Drosophila melanogaster: one gene and its partners. The protein of the gene in region 1 interacts with the protein of each later gene in a pairwise test. Each region holds a gene or a part of one and is shown in the gene's direction. Other genes may lie near its edges. The genes, in order: CG13124, Traf-like and mxt.

Region 1 (7,467 bases):
GTAAGTACGTCGGGCGAAAATAAATATTATACAATAATTAAATTGTTTTTTATTTAAAGGAAAAAGTGCCCATGAGCAGTCAACAGAAAATATACTATCACGAGCTGGTCGATTATTATTCCAATAACAAGGGCGAGGTGTGCAGCAGCAGCGAAAGGGCCGGCATAGCGATCATGATGGAGATGCGCCGCATTGCAAACCATCCGTTGCTGATGCGTCACTACTTCACCGACGCCAATCTACGTGGATTCTCTAAGCGCCTGGCTAATGCCAGTTCCTTTAAAAAGACCAACGAGCAATACATCTTTGAAGAGCTAGCCGTTATGTCAGACTTTCAGGTCTATCAGATGATGAACAAGCATGTAAGTGACTATCAAAGAGGTTGTCCAATGACAATGACTAAATTTGTGCATCTTTCAGGAGTTTTACGACGTGAAAATACCCGATAATTTGATATGCGATTCTGGAAAATTCCTCTACCTGGATACGTTGCTTCCAAAACTGAAGGCAGAAGGACACCGTGTGTTGCTTTTCAGCCAGTTCACCATGATGCTGGACATTGTGGAGGAGTATCTGCGAATACGAAAGTTTGGTTTCTGTCGCCTGGACGGGGCGACCGCCGTAAATGTCCGCCAGGATTTGATCACCGACTTCAATGGGGACGATAGCATCTTTGTGTTCCTACTCTCCACCAAAGCCGGTGGCGTTGGCATCAACCTGACGGCTGCCGACACCTGTGTCATTCACGATATCGACTTCAACCCGTACAACGATAAACAGGCCGAGGATCGGTGTCATCGCATGGGACAGCAGCGTCCGGTGACCATTTACCGTCTCATTTCCGAGAGTACCATCGAGGAGGGCATCCTGATGGCCGCCGAAGAGAAGCTAAAACTAGAAAAGGACATTACTTCCAACGAGAAGGGCGAGGTGCACGAGCAGCGATGTGTGGTCAAGCTGTTGACCACAGCCCTTGGCTTGGACAAGGATCAGGAGGAGCAGCTAAACAATTCACTAAACAACTCCATAGCCTCGCCCGCCAAATAGGCATTCTCGTTGTCCTCGTTCTCGTCCTTGTCCCCACCTCCGTATTTATTCTGCGCGAGCATTTGATCAACTTGGTCTAATCGTCCTACCGCTGTCAAATCCTGTTAACATCGTTTGAATTATTCTAACAATATTGTATTTGTATATTTTTTAAACTTGTATGCAAGGAGAGATTTGGTGTATGGTATGCCAAAAGTGGATCATAAATCGAGTTAGTAATTTTTCACCGTTGAGGCGACATTAGTTTTTCTTCATTAGTAACAGCAACATTTCCACGATAAACCAAGGCAGACAAGTTAATATTCTTGTTTTATTGATTTGTCATCATGATTAGTTTTCATTTCTGTAATTTCTGTTTATGTATCGAATTGAAACTATTGTTATAAGGATAAAGATCATTTTGTGTACGAATGCGATCATGTTCATTTATTTCTACATATTTGCTCTATAGTTCGAGCCGCTCGACAACCCTAAACGGATCGCTCTCGCATTTTCCCACGAGATTCTTTTGGTTGTGTGGTGCAAAGAGAAGCGGAGAATCGCTTTCCAGAGAGCACAACTGTAATGAAGAGCTTTCGGCTGGCGCGGCGATTCATCAAGTCTTTAGTCTTCAACTGATCGCTCGCGCCGATGATTTAATTTTTAAGTTAAAGCCTGCGCCCAGTGTAGCAGCCGGCAGCGTTACTCACATCCATATACATACATACGTGCGAATATACATACATGCTCACATAATACGGCGTACATCGATAAATAGATATACCCCGCAGATATAGTGTCTCGATCGACAGCAACGAACCCATGGAAACCTAAAGTAAAACCAAAATTCCAAGGTTCCATTGTCCCGTAGTTAAATGTGTTTAAATCCAATTACATCCCCGATCCTTTATATTTTGCTCTTACGAATCGGGATTATGTGATTCATGCATAAGTACATACGTTTCCTCCCCGAATACTTTCTTGAATTCTATTTAAAAATAGACAAACTGTTTGCGAGCGGAAATCATATTGTGCCGCGGCGGCGACTAAAACGCTAAATAAATCGGGCCAATAATTTGAAATAGTCTGTTCTTTTTTTTATTTTGTCTTTCTGCCAGCCCGCTGATATTATTGTTTTTGACCAACGGAAACGGAAGCAACGCCAACTGCATATAGGTTTATAGATGTATCTACATAGTGCTGCGATACAGTCATCATTCGCAGCGCTGTCATATACTATAAATATAGATGCGGCGGCACATGTGAGCAGTTTTTGGCAATTGCCAAAGAATACGGCGCACAAGTCGGGTGAAAACAAACAGCGCGTGCAGGCTAAACATGAAGAGTAGTATAGGAAAATATAAATAACAATTAATAATCCCCTCATTTTGGCCGCGCCTGTATGCGTGTAGTGACCGCTTGTATGTGTACGTGTGAGAGTAATCCGAACAATAACTATATTATATACATAAATAGCGAGCGATCTGCATTAAATGAGAGAAAAATCACAATAAAAAGAAAAACGAACGAACACAACAACGCGAACAAAAATTAAGAAACCAAAACGGAATCGGTAATAATTGACGACGAGCAGACAACGAGCCGAGAACAAGCAGCACAAAGCGACAAACCAAAAATAGACGATACCAACGGTGCGTATACTTAACGAGCCACCCGCTCATATCACTCATCTCGCCCTCTCGCTCGCACAGCAGCCACCAGTCATCCGAGCAAAAGCAACAACAATAGGCACTAAAATCAATTGTGATCACAGTGCGTTTGTGTGAGTGCGTATGCGTATGCGTATCTGTGCCTTTTTTTGCATTTGCCGCTGTATCTGCCTGCATCTGTATCTGTGTCTAGAGGCCCGCAATCCATAACCATCTAGTGTATTACCCCATATGCGGACTATTTGGGCGTGGAGGGACGCTTCGAAATATTAATTATTTCTGACACTGTTTACGGCTTGACTTGGCGCATGCCAAGCATGATTAAACGAGACACGAAAGAGCGTATCTACGAAGTAGATAAATATCTTTATACGAACAACTAAGCTGCGGCACCAAGCAACAATCGAATCGACGAATAGCAACAACGCACAAACAAACCCATCTATATATACACTATAGACAGAGATAAACAAAAGCTCAAGCAGCAACAGCAGCAGCAACAACGAAACAATTTGAAGGAAATATTTTTGCACTAAAAGGTGAGTATATCCGTCCATCCGACGCTGATTCATAATACCAGCCTAGCTTATTCCGAGCACTCTGTTTGGCAATCTGAGAATGGGAAGTGTAGAGCAATTAGCGAGGCAAGTTCACATTGCTATGATAGTAGTCACTCTCACAGGGCAGTTAACCTATGTAAGATTCTCTAAGTTCGTTAATTACCACATTTTGACAAGTTCATTGTTTTATTGATATAAGTGGATGGTACATATAAGTAAGAAGAGTCAAAGATTTATTCAAGCCACATTTTGTGATAATAGATGGTAGAGAGGCCTGACTGTACAATGTATCTTTCGTATGTATCTTTCGCGGAGACTCACTTCGGACTTCTTGTGGGCCGCAGAATAAGAATTACTCGGGGGCTGATGTCATGTTCGGAGATGAAGTGCTCTAGCCAGAGGTTCCAAACCAGATGCAACTCCTACGCTCGGCCATAAAGCCGGTTGGTTGCTCGACAAGATCAAGTAGTTTGCGCCTCCCTCTCGCATGTGGGTTAAAGAGTTTTTGTGTATCTTACTTGATATATGTTGACAATAATATAATGCGATATGCTGAAGTATATAATTAATTTTCATTGTATTCCAGACCCGGCAATCTGAATCTGCAAAAGGGGAAGATATCCCTCAACATCGTATTAAGAAGAGAACTCAACTCGATAAAGGAGGAAAGGAAACCAACTATTGTGATATGTACAAATTTACTCAAATACTGAAGCCACACATTTAGACGTTTATTCGACGGAATCCCAGTTGTGAATCGATTAACCGGAGGATAATCTACCAAAGATTAGGCTTTCATCTTCAATTAGGTTTTACCCAAATAGAGCAGAAGCAGTACTCGCGCAAAAATCGCAGGATGGCCGAAAAGGTGGAACTACTGGCCCAGGCCAGCATGAATGGCCAACAGAATGATACGCGGAAGGTGCGCAAATCACCGGAATTTCAGCCCGGCGTTATCTCCCGCGAACGCAGCTTTGTGCGCACCTCAAATCAACAGGTGGGTACACCATATCGATGTCGATTAGCAGCCATATTTATATAATTGTTTGTTCATTCAGAATATCAACAAACGGCGAAGTCTGGCTTTCAACGTACCTGGCAATCAGACGGGACAGATGAGGGGCAAACCAGCCATGGATATCTACAGGCCTCCCAGTGAGTTGTTTTAGTCATTCGTTATAAATTCTCTAATTCGCTTGGGTGCTTGGCAGGGTGCTCGGTGCTAAAGAAGTTAAAGAACTCAATATAATAGAGAATTTTTATATTTCGAGGATATTTAATCGGTATTATTTTAGTGGTGGCTTAGAAATACAAACACATCAAGTGTAGATATATGCATTTGGACGAGAAAGGTACTGAATAATCAAAAACATACATGTACATATAACGATATTTATTATAGGCATATTTTATAGGGACTATTTCCGTTTTTTTTCCAGCTTAGTCCTTAAAAAGTGAGATTGAGCATATTTAAAAATGTAAATATTAAATGTCAATAGTCACATATGTACTTCAGCCAGCCCAGCTTAAGATGCTCTATTCTTTGCTGCCAGCTTATCAGTTCCAATTAATACTTACTGAGACCACATTTTTCTTTTGATTCTTTTCATATCTCTGTCTCATACCCTGTACATTCCGTCCCTCCACACAATGTTGTCCTACCCCCCAACATCATCACATACACTCTTGGGTATACCGACCCTTCCCCAACAATAATCCCCACTTGACTCTGTCTCAGATGTGCGCGGAGAGCTAGCCGCTCCAGCCGGTGGTGTCGGTGGTGATGGTCCGAATGGTGCTATCGGTGGTGTCGCCAACAAGCTGAACGTCAATGCCCAGGAGTTCACAATGACAACCAGCTCCGGGGCACCGGCCGAGGCACTCGGCAACCGGTAATGCAAAGTCTTTTAATTCCATTGTTTACCCCTCTTCCCGTCTCCTTGCAGAGCTAAACTACAGTCTACAACATTCTTCCAGTTCGTCGCTAATACTTCCGCTCACCAATGGACCCGGAGTGGGAGTTGCACCGGGTTTGGGTCCGTACGGAAACGTGAATCGCCGCCAGGCCGGACACTCCCTCGGCAACATGCCGGGCTTGAAGGCCAACCACCGGTCGATCCTGGTGACGTATCCAATCAATACCGGTGCCCTCAGCGGTCAGCTGCCGCTAATGAACTCGCCATCCAGTGGAAATATACTTCACGTGAGCTCTAATTTAAAAATATTGGTAAAAAAAAACAATATTTCAATAAATAAACACCTAAATTCCAGACAACAAATCGTGTAAAGTTTGCACCTGAGCCCCGAGGTCACAAAGTGGCTTCGCATAATCAGTTTGGTCAACTAAACAACAACTATGCTCAGCCTTATCAGGCGAATATTAATGGAGTAGATCCTTACATGAATGGAAATGCACTGCAACGCTCCAAGTCGTTGTCGTCGGCGGATGCCCTTACTCGTGGAATGGCCGGATTGGGACTAGGTTTGGGCAACGAGGTGGCCGACATAGGACAGTTCACGCCAGAGATCCAGGCGCTTATTGACACGGCCCTGGAGGATCCCAATAAACTGAACTCTCGCTGTCTCATGGAACTGACATCGCAGTTCATCAAACGCGCGGTGGAGAGTCGCCGTTTTGCTCTGCCAATATCACGACTGTGTCTGAACATCATTGCCCGGGAGCAGAAGGAAACGTTTCTCGAGGCGCTCCTCAACACATGCCGTCAGTGGTACCAGGAGCGTGAGAAGGTAGGCAATTCAGCATAAATTTCCATGATCATTTCATATTTAAAAATCTTTTACCCCGCATGCAGCTGTTGTTTGCCATCCAGGGCATGAAGTCGCCATCACGTGTCCGATTCACTGCCTTTATGGCCTTCCTTACGGAAATGTTTTGTCAGCTGAAACGTCGGCAGCTCCAGCTACGCACCCACCACGAGGGCACTCCTCCGCCACTGGTACTGCTTAGTCTGCTCTCCAAATGTTGCGGGGATTGCGTGCGTCCACCCATTAGATCACTTTCAGAGGTACGTTTTTGATTGATCAAGTGGTTGGAATAATACATGTGATTACTATTCATAACTTTCAGATTGAGTGCTTGTTTTATGTTTTGACCTGTATTGGCCAGGACATGGAGCAGCAGTTGCCCCAGCAACTGGAGTTACTCATGAGTCTGGTTCGCGATGCCTTTTTGAATGCCGGCGAATCTGCGGCCTCCATTCGGCGCACTCTTCTCCAACTCATCGAGCTGAAGGCCTCCCACTGGCAGCTACCAGGCAATACGGTTCTTTACTACACGCACACTAACAATTAGGAACGAGATCTGGAGCTGGGGACATGGCGGGGATAAGGGCACTGTGCAAGCATCAGGACACCATGAGCAATTGATTCTGTTGTCGCATTGCATTTAGGGCCTGGAAAACTTCTGTTCTATTTATCTTATTGTATTCTTACCTAGACATAAGCAATATTTATTTCGGCAGCAGCTATAGAGAGAAACTAACCCGAGACTTGCACACTACACACCAAGCACAGTACCAAATAAGATCGAACTCTTGGATTCGATATCTTTGGACTGTGCTATAATCTAAGGCTCAACATTTATGTGAATCCATATATTTATGTGTAATAAATCACAGCTAGTCAAACGAGGGTGCAAGTTTATTTTATGCGGGGCACTGCATTATTGGTCATCACAAACAAAAAGACAATAAAACAGTATGCTTCAAATGCATACAAATTTTAAAAACTTATCTTTTTGGTTTTGTAATAATGACTCGCGCTTACCTGTTGAACTTTGTTGAACTACGACCCTGGACGACCTTATCAGCGGCCTGCTATGCCATTTATTCTGCTCCCTATTTAAGCACCAACTAAGGCTCAAAAATCCAGAGTCTTGCTCGACAAGTTGCAATGGTAAGTCGAACATAAGATTAGTAGTTACCTCATACCAATATTGTCCTTAACTATAGGTCGTTCTAAGTTGTTTTATTTGGCTTGCCCTTTATCACTCTGCAAATGCAGCGCTGGAGGGCAGTGAAATTAAGTTTGGGGACGAATCAACTACAGAATCGGCTGAAAAATATCCTGATTACTGCTGGATAAATCCTTTTCTCCCGGGCTGTCCATTTGGTCCGGGTGATGGCAATAATTCGACCACAAAGATTTCAACACTGGCAACAACAAAGTCAACAGTGACAACCAGTGAGGAA
Region 2 (4,805 bases), on another chromosome or scaffold:
TCCATGGACACTATCACAGTGTCCGACTGTCCCTGCTGGTGCTGTACTTCTTCTACAAGAACATCGTCTTTATGGGCATCATGTTCCTGTTCCAGTTTCACACGCTGTTCTCCTCATCCTCCGTCTACGATTCGCTATTCCTTACCTTGTACAATGTGATATACACCTCGCTGCCCATTTTGTTCATAGCTATCTCCGAGAAGCCATACACCGAGGAGAAGTTGATGAGGTAACAGTGGGTTCAATCGTTTATATGTATAATGTTGATGTTACTAAAAATGCAACTTGAACAGAACGCCACAGCTTTACAAGAAGAACACGGACAACAAGCAGCTCCACTGGCCGTACTTCCTGATGTGGGTCCTATTTGCGATCTACCACAGTGTCATCATATTCTACTTCGCCTTCTGCTTCTTCTACTACAACAACGTTCTCCTGAACTACGGACAGACGGTGGCCTTCTCCTGCTTCGGCACCCTCCTCATGTGGACGGTGGTGGTGGTCGTGAACCTTAAGCTCTGGCTCGAGTCAATGTATCTGTCCTTTTGGTATATATTCACCATTATCATTTCCATTTTGGGCTTTGTAGTCACAACGGTTATCTACAACGTTATCAATCTGTGAGTTCATGGCTACGAATGTATCCATTTAAGGTTTAAACTAATATGTATATGTATTATTTGCAGGGACTACGACACCGACATCTACTGGGCCTACAACAATCTGTTGGCCTCACTGCCAGTCTGGCTGTGGATCATAGTGACCTGTGTGGCCTGCCTGGTACCCGACTATACCATCCGAATGCTCCAGAGGGCGCTCAACATAAAGAGTTTCAGCATTTTTCCCGGAAAACAACGGAAACTTAAGATGCGCGAGAAGTTTGAGTCCACATACTTGTAATCGTCGATTAGGCTATAGTTTTTATACCCCTAATTTATTTATTTCCTCATGTATACAATTTTTTTTTTTTTTGTTAGATAAACAAATTTTTGTTAAACGTTTGAACAATAGATTTGATTTCTGACCACCACCTTAGAGGTAGGAAAGTATCTCAACTTCCCAAATGGAGAACCTTGAAATCGTATGCTAACACTCGCAATCAACTGGGAAGTACGACATTTTAGGCTGATAACATTTTTATCATAATCTCGGCGACTTATTGAGAGCAAGTGCAACTACACTTGGAAAAATGGTTCGTTTACGAAAATGCTGGGTTTCAATACAGCTACACGATACAAACATCTAATTAATAAAGGATTTATTTAATATTTTTCCTACATCGGATATTGTTTAAAAATATATACGAAAGTATATAGCCCGTTTTTATCACAGTTTAGCCGTTGCCCCACTTTTGATACCATAAAGTAGGGCGGCGAGTCAGTAAATGTACTTCAATCCCGATCCACATATGTGTACGTAGGGCACCTGTTGGTTCGGCCATACCCACTGCCACGCCCACGATCACTGCCGCCCACCACATTGTTATCTAGTTGATGGCGTCGTTACCATTTGCATTGCCGAGGCAATGGACAAAGTTTTGATTGTGAAGCCCGTTTTTCATTGATAATGTTATCTCCACTCGCATTCCGAATATGTTTGTACAAGGGGAGCTAGAGATATGAACATTTTGCAGGTACATATGTGGCCATATAGTCGCTGGAAGATCTGGTGACGGTTACGATTTTAGTGGATTCTCGGTGGCTGTGTTTTCCTGGTCGTAGTTCGCCAAGTTAGTGGTCAATACGATTCGTTGGTTGCTCTCGCATTTCGAAATAGTGGTAATCGCACCAAATGGCAGTGCTATCAGTTCGAGGTTGTCGTATAGATTCCCATGGACGCCCTAATGCTAACACATGTGCAAAGCTATATCTAAACCATGTCTGTGTGCGCCGCGTATGACTATGCCCAAGGAAATTCTTAATCATTTTTGGCTGAGTTTAGTGTGCATAGGGCGGTGCTCGCAGCGCCAGAGAATTTGCTGATCCAAAGTTTCAATCGAATTTGCTTTCCTTTAATCAATATAATGTCACTGACCAAGTCGTCGTCGAGAAAGGATCTAACCGAGCAGAATCAGTATCAGAATCAGAATGAGAATCAGAATCAGCCCAAATCGACGACCATAGTCAAGTATGAGAAGTCGTCGTGCCTCTTCTGCAACGAATGGTTCGATGCCCAGACATTCACGGTTATAATCGTCCAACTTTTCAGTTCACCTTTGATTACTATTACATTACTCCTCTTTGGATGCGACTGCAGGAACACCTGATCCACTGCGGCCAGGTGCTGGAGGAGTGTCCCAACGGCTGTCAGGCCTTCATTCCACGCATCCGTATGCGATCCCATCTGAAGGAGTGTCCACGCAACCAGCACAATCTGAGCAATCAGCAACGCATGAGTGTCAGCATGGATCGCCTGGATAGGCAGTCGGATCAGCGTCTCCTGGTCATTGAACAGGACGTGGGCACCATTCGGTCCGTTCTCAACGAGGAGATACGACAGCGTTTGCATCTCATTACCGATGTGGGCAACATACGGAAGCAGAACCAGGTCGTCGAGGACTGGACCCGCGAAACCGAGAAGGCAATGGACGATCTGCGTCGCCAGATGGAGGAGGAAACCAATCGGAAGGCATTCGCCATCGAACAGAACCAGCTGGATGTCCAGTACTGCTGTGATATCACACAGGTTAGTTAATGCTACTTTATTTAAATATATATATACTATCTATCTTTAATGTGCATATCTCCGTCGAAGTCCTTGAAAGAGCAAGTGGAGTCCAGGCTGGATGAGGCCCAAAAGCTGGTCAATCAGCTCTCGGCGGACGTGACCTATCACCAGAATCAGCTAAACGACAATATCCTAAAGCTGGAGGAGCTGATCTTTGAGAACGAGCGGCTCAACAGGGAGAAGTTCTTTCAGATCGAGGAGTTTCTGCAGCAGATCAATGAGGACATCAAAACAAAGCTGGGCAACAGTGACTATGTGACGTCAAAGCAGGCCACATTGGACTATGAGGTGAAGAATGTGAAGAACATTGTGTGCGAAACGGAGGAACGTTGCGATAAATTGGATCGAGCACTTCACCAGACCATGCAGAATATATCGGATTTGGAGACCCAAATGGCCATGCAGCAGCGGATTGCCAGTGTCCAGAATATAAGGGGTACATATTGTTGGTTCAATATAGTAATTTAAATATATAATATCTGGTCGTACAGGACACTTGATTTGGCGCATCAAGGATTACTCGAAAAAACTGGAAGAGTCCAAGCAGTACGACACCATCCTCCATAGCGCCATGTTCTCCAATAAAGCCTTTGGCTATGCTCTACGGGTGAGTTGAGGTTGGATCTTGGTTGGATATGCCATTTATATATGTATACCCCATTACTAGCTGGATATATACTTGAATGGCAAGGGCACCTGGAAGGGCAGGAACATGATCGCCTGCTTGAACGTTCTATCCGGAGAGTACGATCCCCTTCTGGCCTGGCCATGCCGCCTTCAGGCCGAGATCATCATCCGGGATCAGTGCACGAATGTGGCAGATGCCGAGGATTATGTGAAGACCATCTTTGTGCGCAAGAAGAGCGATGATTTTATCCAAAGCAACCAGTACTTCCATATACCACACAAGGTAATCACCAGTCGCAACTATCTTCGCAACGATTCCATGTTCATCGAGGTTCGAGTTCTAAAATAAAACCCATGCAGCATCGCTATCCCACCCACCAGGAGCGATAAGAAAAAAAAAATCCAATTGCGGATTGTCACATACATAAAACATAATTTATTCCATTGAGAGCGAACTGGAAGTTAAAAACCCGCTTACAAACACGAGTATGTGTACATATATAGTGTATAAGTGCATACGAATCGATTCATCGTTTCAATATGCGTATATTGTAGTTTTAAATGTCATTGCAGTTTTAAATGCTTTTTTTCAAATTAGGCAATAGTCACATTGAGGCACTGTCGAGACGAAGTCGGTAGTTAGAAAGCATAGCTTTTATTGCAACATTTCCCTGGTCACTTTGTCAAGATATAAGCAACTCTTTCATTTTTTGGTTTTTCATTTCGAGCAAATTAACAAGCGATTTTTGAGAGGAACTTCCATATTATTTGTCTTTACGAACGCATTTAAATACAAAGGTCTTTTAATAAAATACAACTTCAACACTTGTCAACTGTCGGTTCCCATGTTCATTTCTTTGAAAGAGGTATCAAATGTCTGATCCCGTTCAGGTATTATTTGTGTGCACTTATAGTCTACGTTGTGGATCATAATTGTCTGGCTTCGTTGGCGTGTTCTTGTATGTTGTATGCATTTAAATGAACGAATACATAGAAGAGATAATACATATTCGAATAATTGATTTCACGTCGGATTTGGTTTGAATAATACATATATATGTATATGCGGAGATTCTTAAGAGGAGCGCTGTTCACCCACCAGGGCATAAAGGGCGTGCTTGTAGTGGCCCGAAGTATCGCCCTGCAAGTAGGATTTTATATGATTATAGAATATAGATATAGATAGATATATATATCTTACCTTGATCCAGCTCTTGAGGGACTTGCCGTACAGACGTTCGAACGCTACCTTAATGTCCGTCATATCAATCTGAAAAACGTTGCAACATTTTAGGGTTGAATGATATTATATATAGATGTACTTACCTCGCTGCGCGTGATGATCACACGGATCAACTGGGTGTCATTGGTGCCAATTCCGGCCATCGCCTTGTGCAGGCGCGAAGCGAAGTATTCGGCCTTGTTGGTGACGCACCTGTAGATGGCAATCA
Region 3 (6,856 bases), 5.1 Mb from region 1:
CGTCCAGCTGGTCGCGCGGCAGCTTCCCCAAACGCTGCACCGTTCGCTTCCAGTTGTGGAACTCACGGTTTTTAAAGGGCTTCATGGCCATACGGTACTCCTTCCACTGGCGCTGGCGCTCCTCCTTCGTACCAGGCGGTGCATCCTCGAGCGGCGGTGGTGCCTCTGGCTTCTGTATCCATTGGCCATTGACCTGGACAAATGTGCCGCAGCGCTTGGGCTTCTTGGAGGGCTGCGCTTCCCCGTTTGACGGCGAATTGTTGCCATTGCTTGGCGGTGGGGGCGGAGGCATAAGCCTCGTATCTTTGTCACTGTTGCCGCGATGGTTTACCTTGAATTTCTTGTTATTCTGGTTTGGATTGCTGCGATTGTTTTGTGCTCCCTGCTCCTTGGGTACCAGATTCCACAAGCTGGGGCACTTGGGCATGGGCGGTTGGATTGGTGGTGGTCTATGTTGTGGCGACATCATGTCCTCCCAGAACGGAGGCGGCTGCAGAGGTCGGTGATTGTGATTCCGGCGGGGCCCAGAACCACGTGGTCCTCCAAAGCCCACTGGACCACCGGGGCCCATACTGCTCATGGGACCACAGGGACCCATATTGCTTATGGGACCGCGAGGTCCTCCTGGTCCCATTGGCCCCATGGGGGGACCGCATTGTCCGGGTCCAGGCCCAAAATTGCCTCCAAAGCCCATGTTCATCAGCTGCATAGGAAGTGGAGGCGGTCGATTCATCGGAGGATAGTTCCTGTCCTGGTAGCTTTGCGGACCTCCGCCTCCATGAAAGGCATTGTTGCTATTCGAAGACCAATGTTTACGTCCGTTGCCGTTGTTGTTATTGTTGTTGTTGTTACTATTGTTATTGTTGCTCCGTTGTAGTCCGCTTTTGGTATCCGGTTTCAGTGCATCCTTGCATTTCTTCCAATCTGCAAACGACATTTTCAGCGGCTTAGTTTCAGGCTCATCTTTGCCGGACTCCGGAACGACTTCCTTGGAATCCTCTGGTGCCGCCTCCACGTCCCCGTTTTCAGACATCTCGCACCTTAGAGAGTGGGAATACACTTTATAAATATATCAACTTAATTTTATTTGAGTTTTGCTTAGCGATGGCAAACAAAAATTTCAATAACAACAAATTGAAGGAACAGCCGATGTTTTCTATCGATATTTTCGTGCTTAAAATTTTAGGGAGTTTCCCCTGAAGTATTTTCTTAAGAGTCCTGTTGTTCTTAAAAAAGAACAGTAGTTTCCAAATGTATTCTCTAAACTTTCCGCTATACCAGTAAATCTTCATTTGTTAACTAGTAAGCGATATATTAATGCCCAACGTAATATAATATATATTTAACATTTTCGATCCCATGCAGACACAACCGGCGGGGAATAGTAATTGCCCAGCGTCCAGATACCATAGTGAATTGTTGGTTATCAGCGATAAGTGTCTGATTTCGTAACATTTATTTCATATTTAAATTTAAATTTTAATACGAACACATCTGTGATGCGAAATTGATGTGAGCTTTTTGACTGCGCTTTACGTGAACTGGTCTGGATAGCTGTGGCGCATCTCTAAAATCTAACGTGTTCGATCAGGTGGCAACACCCACCGTAAAAAACGATTTTAGTCGCAGTCGCAGAGATTTTGGTTTTGGTAAGCTCTAGTAATTTATTGGAAATTACGATCCAAAATACACCGTTTTAAGAGACGTTTCAATCGGCCATTAAAGTAAATAATAAGCGCGACGAAGACTAAACATCAAAAGTGTTGAAACTAGAACGAGAGTGCAAAGTCGGTCGCCAGCAAAACGCGTAGTTTGCTTATTTTAACGAAAAGCGGCCAGTGCCATTAAAATATTACTCAATTTCACAGAGAATTTTGGCCGAAAACGGATGCAATATATGGATATATAGACCCTGTTTCCTGAAAGTTAACTTCCTTTTTGTTCTACGCCCAACACGGTCGTCAACTGCGCTGCCATCGTCGACGTCGGCAGAGGCCATTCTTGTTGTTGCTATTCTCGACATATGATTCAATAGAGCGATCGCCTCTCTCTTTCTCCCTCCCACGGACAATTTCAGTTTTTTGTAATATTTCTGTTAGCTGTGTTTTAGTTGCCCATGTTTGTTTGTTCTTGTTGTTGTTGCTGCTGCTGCTGTTGCTGCAGCGGCAGTAAGTGATATTTAAAAAAGAAATGAGTTGTTCGCATGGAGCGAAAGTCGAACTGAAATAACACAAATGGTCGTCCGTTTGTCGTTCCCATTCGATATATGCCAACAATTTTCATCAATTATTTACATATTTTGCTTTTGGAACTTCGCACCGATTAACTGAGCAGAAGCCAGAAGCTCAGAAGGCGCCAATGGGTTAATTTGGCCACTAAACTATAGATAAATCGCGGTGTTATCAGCTAAAGCCGCTTATCAAACGTGCACATCGTTAAGATATACGAGAGCTTTGCGTCGCAATATTCGAGATTCGGTCGGAAACGAGGCCAATCTCCATATCCTAAGAAACCTTTTGGTTGTCCATGCTCTCGGCCATTACTCCCAAGTTCTAATGCAATATAGTCGGCTTTGATCATCCTAGCAGCTGAAAGCATGTATCCAAATAGTACAATAGTTTTAATGTAAACAATACATTTGATCGATAACTAACCTTTCTTGTGTTTACAGGGGGAGGTGCGGAAACAGCTTCTACGATTCATTTTTGATCAATTCTTCAACAACATTTAAACGAACGAATAAGTTAGCAGACCATATAGACTGAAATCAGCAGATCCGGACACCAGGCGGGACAACCTTAAGACTTCTTCACGAGACGATATCGAATCCAACGAATCCCGAGAATGGCTCACACACACCTGGGACGCGCCGTGAAAAACATTGAGGCGCCACGCCCGTTGAAGACACAATCGCGATCGTCGTTGAAGAACAGCTACCTGGTGATCGAGGAGCTAATCCAGTTGATAGACAACGTGACCGTCGGTCTTCAGTCGTGCAACACCACGCCGGAATCGATCACGCTGCTCCTGCACAACCTCCGGGTGCATGGACCGCAACTGGAGGCGGTGTCCAAGGATACACTGGACCGGGCCTTCGTCGTTTTCCGCAACGCTTCGCAGGACGAACGGCTGAATATAACGACGCGCCTCAAGCTGCTCGAACTCATCGAGCTGCGCGCCAAGAGCTGGGACAATGACGACACAATCGCGTACTACAAGTCCAAGCAGCAGATCTCCAACGTGGAGGTGAGTAGAGTACATAGAATCGATCTCACTTTGGAAAACGATCAAATATGTATCGTTGCTTTGCAGCTGCCTTCGGAATACCAGTACGATGCCGGCGTGCAGCCTGGCGCCTTCAGCACCTCCCCCACATTCGGCGTCAGCGGCGGTGTTGGTGGCGTTAACGATGGAGCCGCAGCCGCCGCTGCCGCCGTCTTCAATGCAGCATCTGCAGCTGCAGCCGCCCAAGCTGCGGCCATTGCGGCCGTGGGCACATCCAACCAGCAGCACATGCTGCTGCCGCCCGGTGAGGTCATTCGTAATTCGGGCAAGTTCCCCAAACCGACCAAGATTCCTGGCAAGACGTACTGCAAGGACGAGGTCGTGATTCGCAATGCTGACTCCGGCAAAGGTAAGTTTTTCAATCAGCTGAGGAGTGTTCTGGAGCACACAGATCTACAGAAATGGTTTTCAATAATGTATTCCTCCATTCCCGTGGCCAAAAAGTAATGGGCATCAAGGGGCGTCGCGTGCACATGATCGAGGAGCTAAGCGAAACCATTATATCGTTTCAAAGAGGTAACTCCAGAGAGCTGGTTTTAATTGTGATCCTCACCGCACCCCCATTTCATTTGGCACGCTTATTTAAATCAATTAATGCCCGGTGGCTTCTACAAAATTTACTAATAGAAATTATAAATACGCATGTTCCAGATTTTGTCCATTCAACGACACCACATTAAGCCAAAATTGATCGTTAAAGGCATTTTGAAATCACATATTTTCATACTGTATATATGCATTTTGTTTTTAAATGTTTTCGCATCCCAATTATTTTTCATAAATATAAATGCTTTTTTCGAGAACAATTATGAATGCCTTGTTTTCATTAGTCAACCCGGGTGCCAAGGAGCGTTTGGTGCAGATTACTGGTCCAGCTGAGGATAAAATTAAGTGAGTAAAGTAAATAAATTAAAGCTAATTTACCTTTATGTCAAAATGTTTTAATTCTACGACAGCTATGCCAAACAACTTATGGAGGACACCATTCGTCGGAACGCCTCGCCGGTGCGCCTGGAACCCGCTCCTGCCGTTGGAGGATCCTGCTCCTCGCTTAACTCGTCCAACTCGGACGACGCCATTGTGCAACCAAGAACGCCAACCGGAAGCAGTTTGGCCAACCGGCTAAGCTTTAACTCGGCCCAAAACTTCATGACCGCCACAGCTGCTGCACAGCAGATCTCGCAGCAGATGCACCACCAAACGCATCACCTGCAGCACCAACAGCAGCAGCAGGTCGCCGCAGTAGCCGCCGCAGCAGCAGCGGCGGCACATGCTCAGGCGACAGCCGCTGCCGGTAAAGTCTTGCGTCCCAATCAACAGCTGCTAATGCACTCATATTCCACAAACGATGCTTCCGTAGGTGAATACAAGTTCACGGTCAACGTGGGCCAGCACCTGATCAAGATCACCGGCGACTGCTGCGAACTAGTGCGCGTGAGTAATGTTGAAGTTTTCAATTGTGAAATTTGTTAAATCCCCTGCGATTTCAAGGTGGCCAAACTCGTGCTCGATGACTATTTTAGCAGCTCGGAGTTTCTGGCATCCATTGAGGCTGGCGCCGCCTTCGACGGCACTTCGCTGGTGACCACGCCATCGACTCCGCTTCCCGGAGCCGGGCCGCCGCAATTTTGGCTGCCCGGCACGGACAGTGGCATTGGACTGAATTGCGTTGTTTCCTCGTCAGCGAACAACAATGGTGAAGGCGACGACGAGGTGTTCGCTGAGCCCAGCAATGGAGGATCATCGACTAGCAATCAGAATGGACTGGCCAGATCGCGTCGCAGCCACTTTTCGCGCAAGGAGTCCACGCCGGAGACCAAGGGCGCTCGGGAAAAGGGTGACTTGGACGATTTGGCAGGCACCAATTCCTTGAAAAGCAATGCATGTAAGATTACAATCCTTTTATGCTTAACCAAGTCTTTGATGCTTAAACTTAAATTACAGCTCGCGTTTCTTACGATATTGAACACTTGCTCTACTACTCCATGAGTCCGCACTCGTGGACCCTGCCCACCGACTGGCAAAAGATGCAGGAGACAGCGCCCTCGATTCTGCGCAACAAGGTAATTTCGCCGTTCGATGGCTCACTTGGCCGTACGGCTTACTCTTCGAACATCCCCGATGCTATCATCGCCAGTGCACCTAACTCATCAGTAATAACACATCCGTGGGCTTTAAATGCAATAACCTCCTCCCCGAACACAAATATCATCAGCACCGCCGTTGGACTAGCTGCTGTCGATGCGTCGGCAGACAACAATCCCCTAACCGTCACTAACAAGCAATCAAAAGGGATCTTCGCCGAACGCGAGAACCGTCGCCTTCCCAAAACATCGGCCGTGTCCGATCGAAACCTGTATAACAAGCAATTGCAAATCATAACTAATACTGTGGGTCAATCGGTGGCAACACAAGGAAAGCATCGCCAGTCTAGCTATCAAACATCACAAGTGAAGGCAATTTTTCAACGCTACTGCGAGGACGATGAGTTTTCATTGGCACTGTGCGAAACAGAATCGAATAATAACCGCGTTTATGTGTAATTTCATTTAATTTCATTTAATTTAATTTAATTTTACGTAGCCGGAATACGTATTATTGAATCTCAGTCACAGATAGGCTTTTCTTTTCATGTCAGTATTTTTGCTGTTTTAATTTTATATAACTTATCATTAAGAAAAGGTGAAGCGTGAAGAACTTGATAATGAATCAAGTCAATACATCATTATCATTATCATCATCCAGTCATTAGATTAACGACATACCATCGAAACCAAACCGATCGCTAGTCTTAGAGGTAACAATACATATAATGCATTGAAATTAAAATGTAACTATAGGGAGAATCTGTGTTTTGGCTGTGAAACAGATTAAGTCGTCGCTAAGGATAAGCTGGAAAGGCGGTTGAAACCGCTTAACCGCTAACAAACAAACATTCTCGAATTCAAACCAACATTTACAAATCTGTAATCAATACGATTTATATTAACTAATAAACAGGACTTTCAAAGTCCGTAACAAAGCTTGGCTGGGTTTAACTTACACCACCACACACCCCACACATTGTAAATTATAAATTGTAACTTGTGTTTTACCACCGAAGCATCATAACATCACCACCTAACCACCACTCCAGATGGCTAACTTAGTTACTAAACTGTTCCGTATGTATATATGTTCGTTCATCCCTGGATAGCTTGCGTGTCAATGTTACTTTGAAATCAGATATTAAACCATTTCTTTGTTCGACAACAGGATCTGCAGGATGAGAGCCAGCGCTTCGATGGTGATAAGTATCTGGCCAGCATTAAGACGGCCGCCAAGCGAGACATTGTGGCTGCCGATGAGGTCGAGACTCTGGACGAATAAAGCCATCAATCGAGCGGCTCGAACTGACAATATAGAGTGTCCCGGGGTGAAGTGCCTGCTCCCAGACGGAGCTGCAGTATGCTTCAATGCTTTTGGCCATGGCCACATCTAACAATCGCAAACTCAAAACGACCAAAACAAAACAAACAAAAAAAAAAGAATATTGAAAAATATGCAAACTAACCCTAGAAATTACCAACGA

The links.
Region 2: the proteins of CG13124 (region 1) and Traf-like interact in a two-hybrid assay, tested with the Drosophila melanogaster proteins (2 studies listed by BioGRID).
Region 3: the proteins of CG13124 (region 1) and mxt interact in a two-hybrid assay, tested with the Drosophila melanogaster proteins (2 studies listed by BioGRID).

What each region holds. Positions count from the first base shown.
Region 1 is NT_033779.5:9,902,819-9,910,285, reverse strand, and holds CG13124 (uncharacterized protein), read left to right. Parts: upstream 1-1,652; 5' UTR 1,653-1,861; exon of another isoform or gene 1,862-1,978; intron 1,979-2,430; 5' UTR 2,431-2,678; intron 2,679-2,738; 5' UTR 2,739-3,235; intron 3,236-3,842; 5' UTR 3,843-4,112; coding exon 4,113-4,253; intron 4,254-4,314; coding exon 4,315-4,411; intron 4,412-4,994; coding exon 4,995-5,148; intron 5,149-5,202; coding exon of another isoform or gene 5,203-5,233; coding exon 5,234-5,459; intron 5,460-5,527; coding exon 5,528-6,004; intron 6,005-6,069; coding exon 6,070-6,282; intron 6,283-6,344; coding exon 6,345-6,569; 3' UTR 6,570-6,907; downstream 6,908-7,467. Other genes in the region: Etl1, read left to right, coding at 60-362, 421-1,047; Muc30E (mucin 30E), read left to right, coding at 7,169-7,171, 7,228-7,467.
Region 2 is NC_004354.4:16,413,401-16,418,205, forward strand, and holds Traf-like (TNF-receptor-associated factor-like), read left to right. Parts: upstream 1-1,645; 5' UTR 1,646-2,023; coding exon 2,024-2,185; coding exon of another isoform or gene 2,186-2,256; coding exon 2,257-2,685; intron 2,686-2,754; coding exon 2,755-3,163; intron 3,164-3,218; coding exon 3,219-3,334; intron 3,335-3,394; coding exon 3,395-3,703; 3' UTR 3,704-4,185; downstream 4,186-4,805. Other genes in the region: CG4301 (uncharacterized protein), read left to right, coding at 1-229, 294-620, 687-900; AnxB11 (annexin B11), read right to left, coding at 4,430-4,495, 4,556-4,624, 4,681-4,805.
Region 3 is NT_033779.5:4,842,032-4,848,887, reverse strand, and holds mxt (mextli), read left to right. Parts: upstream 1-1,592; 5' UTR 1,593-1,649; exon of another isoform or gene 1,650-1,724; intron 1,725-2,123; exon of another isoform or gene 2,124-2,172; intron 2,173-2,537; exon of another isoform or gene 2,538-2,609; intron 2,610-2,671; 5' UTR 2,672-2,844; coding exon 2,845-3,246; intron 3,247-3,312; coding exon 3,313-3,634; intron 3,635-3,729; coding exon 3,730-3,801; intron 3,802-4,115; coding exon 4,116-4,176; intron 4,177-4,241; coding exon 4,242-4,719; intron 4,720-4,776; coding exon 4,777-5,170; intron 5,171-5,229; coding exon 5,230-5,828; 3' UTR 5,829-6,304; downstream 6,305-6,856. Other genes in the region: CG11927 (uncharacterized protein), read right to left, coding at 1-1,033. UniProt on the Drosophila melanogaster protein: Plays a role in promoting translation.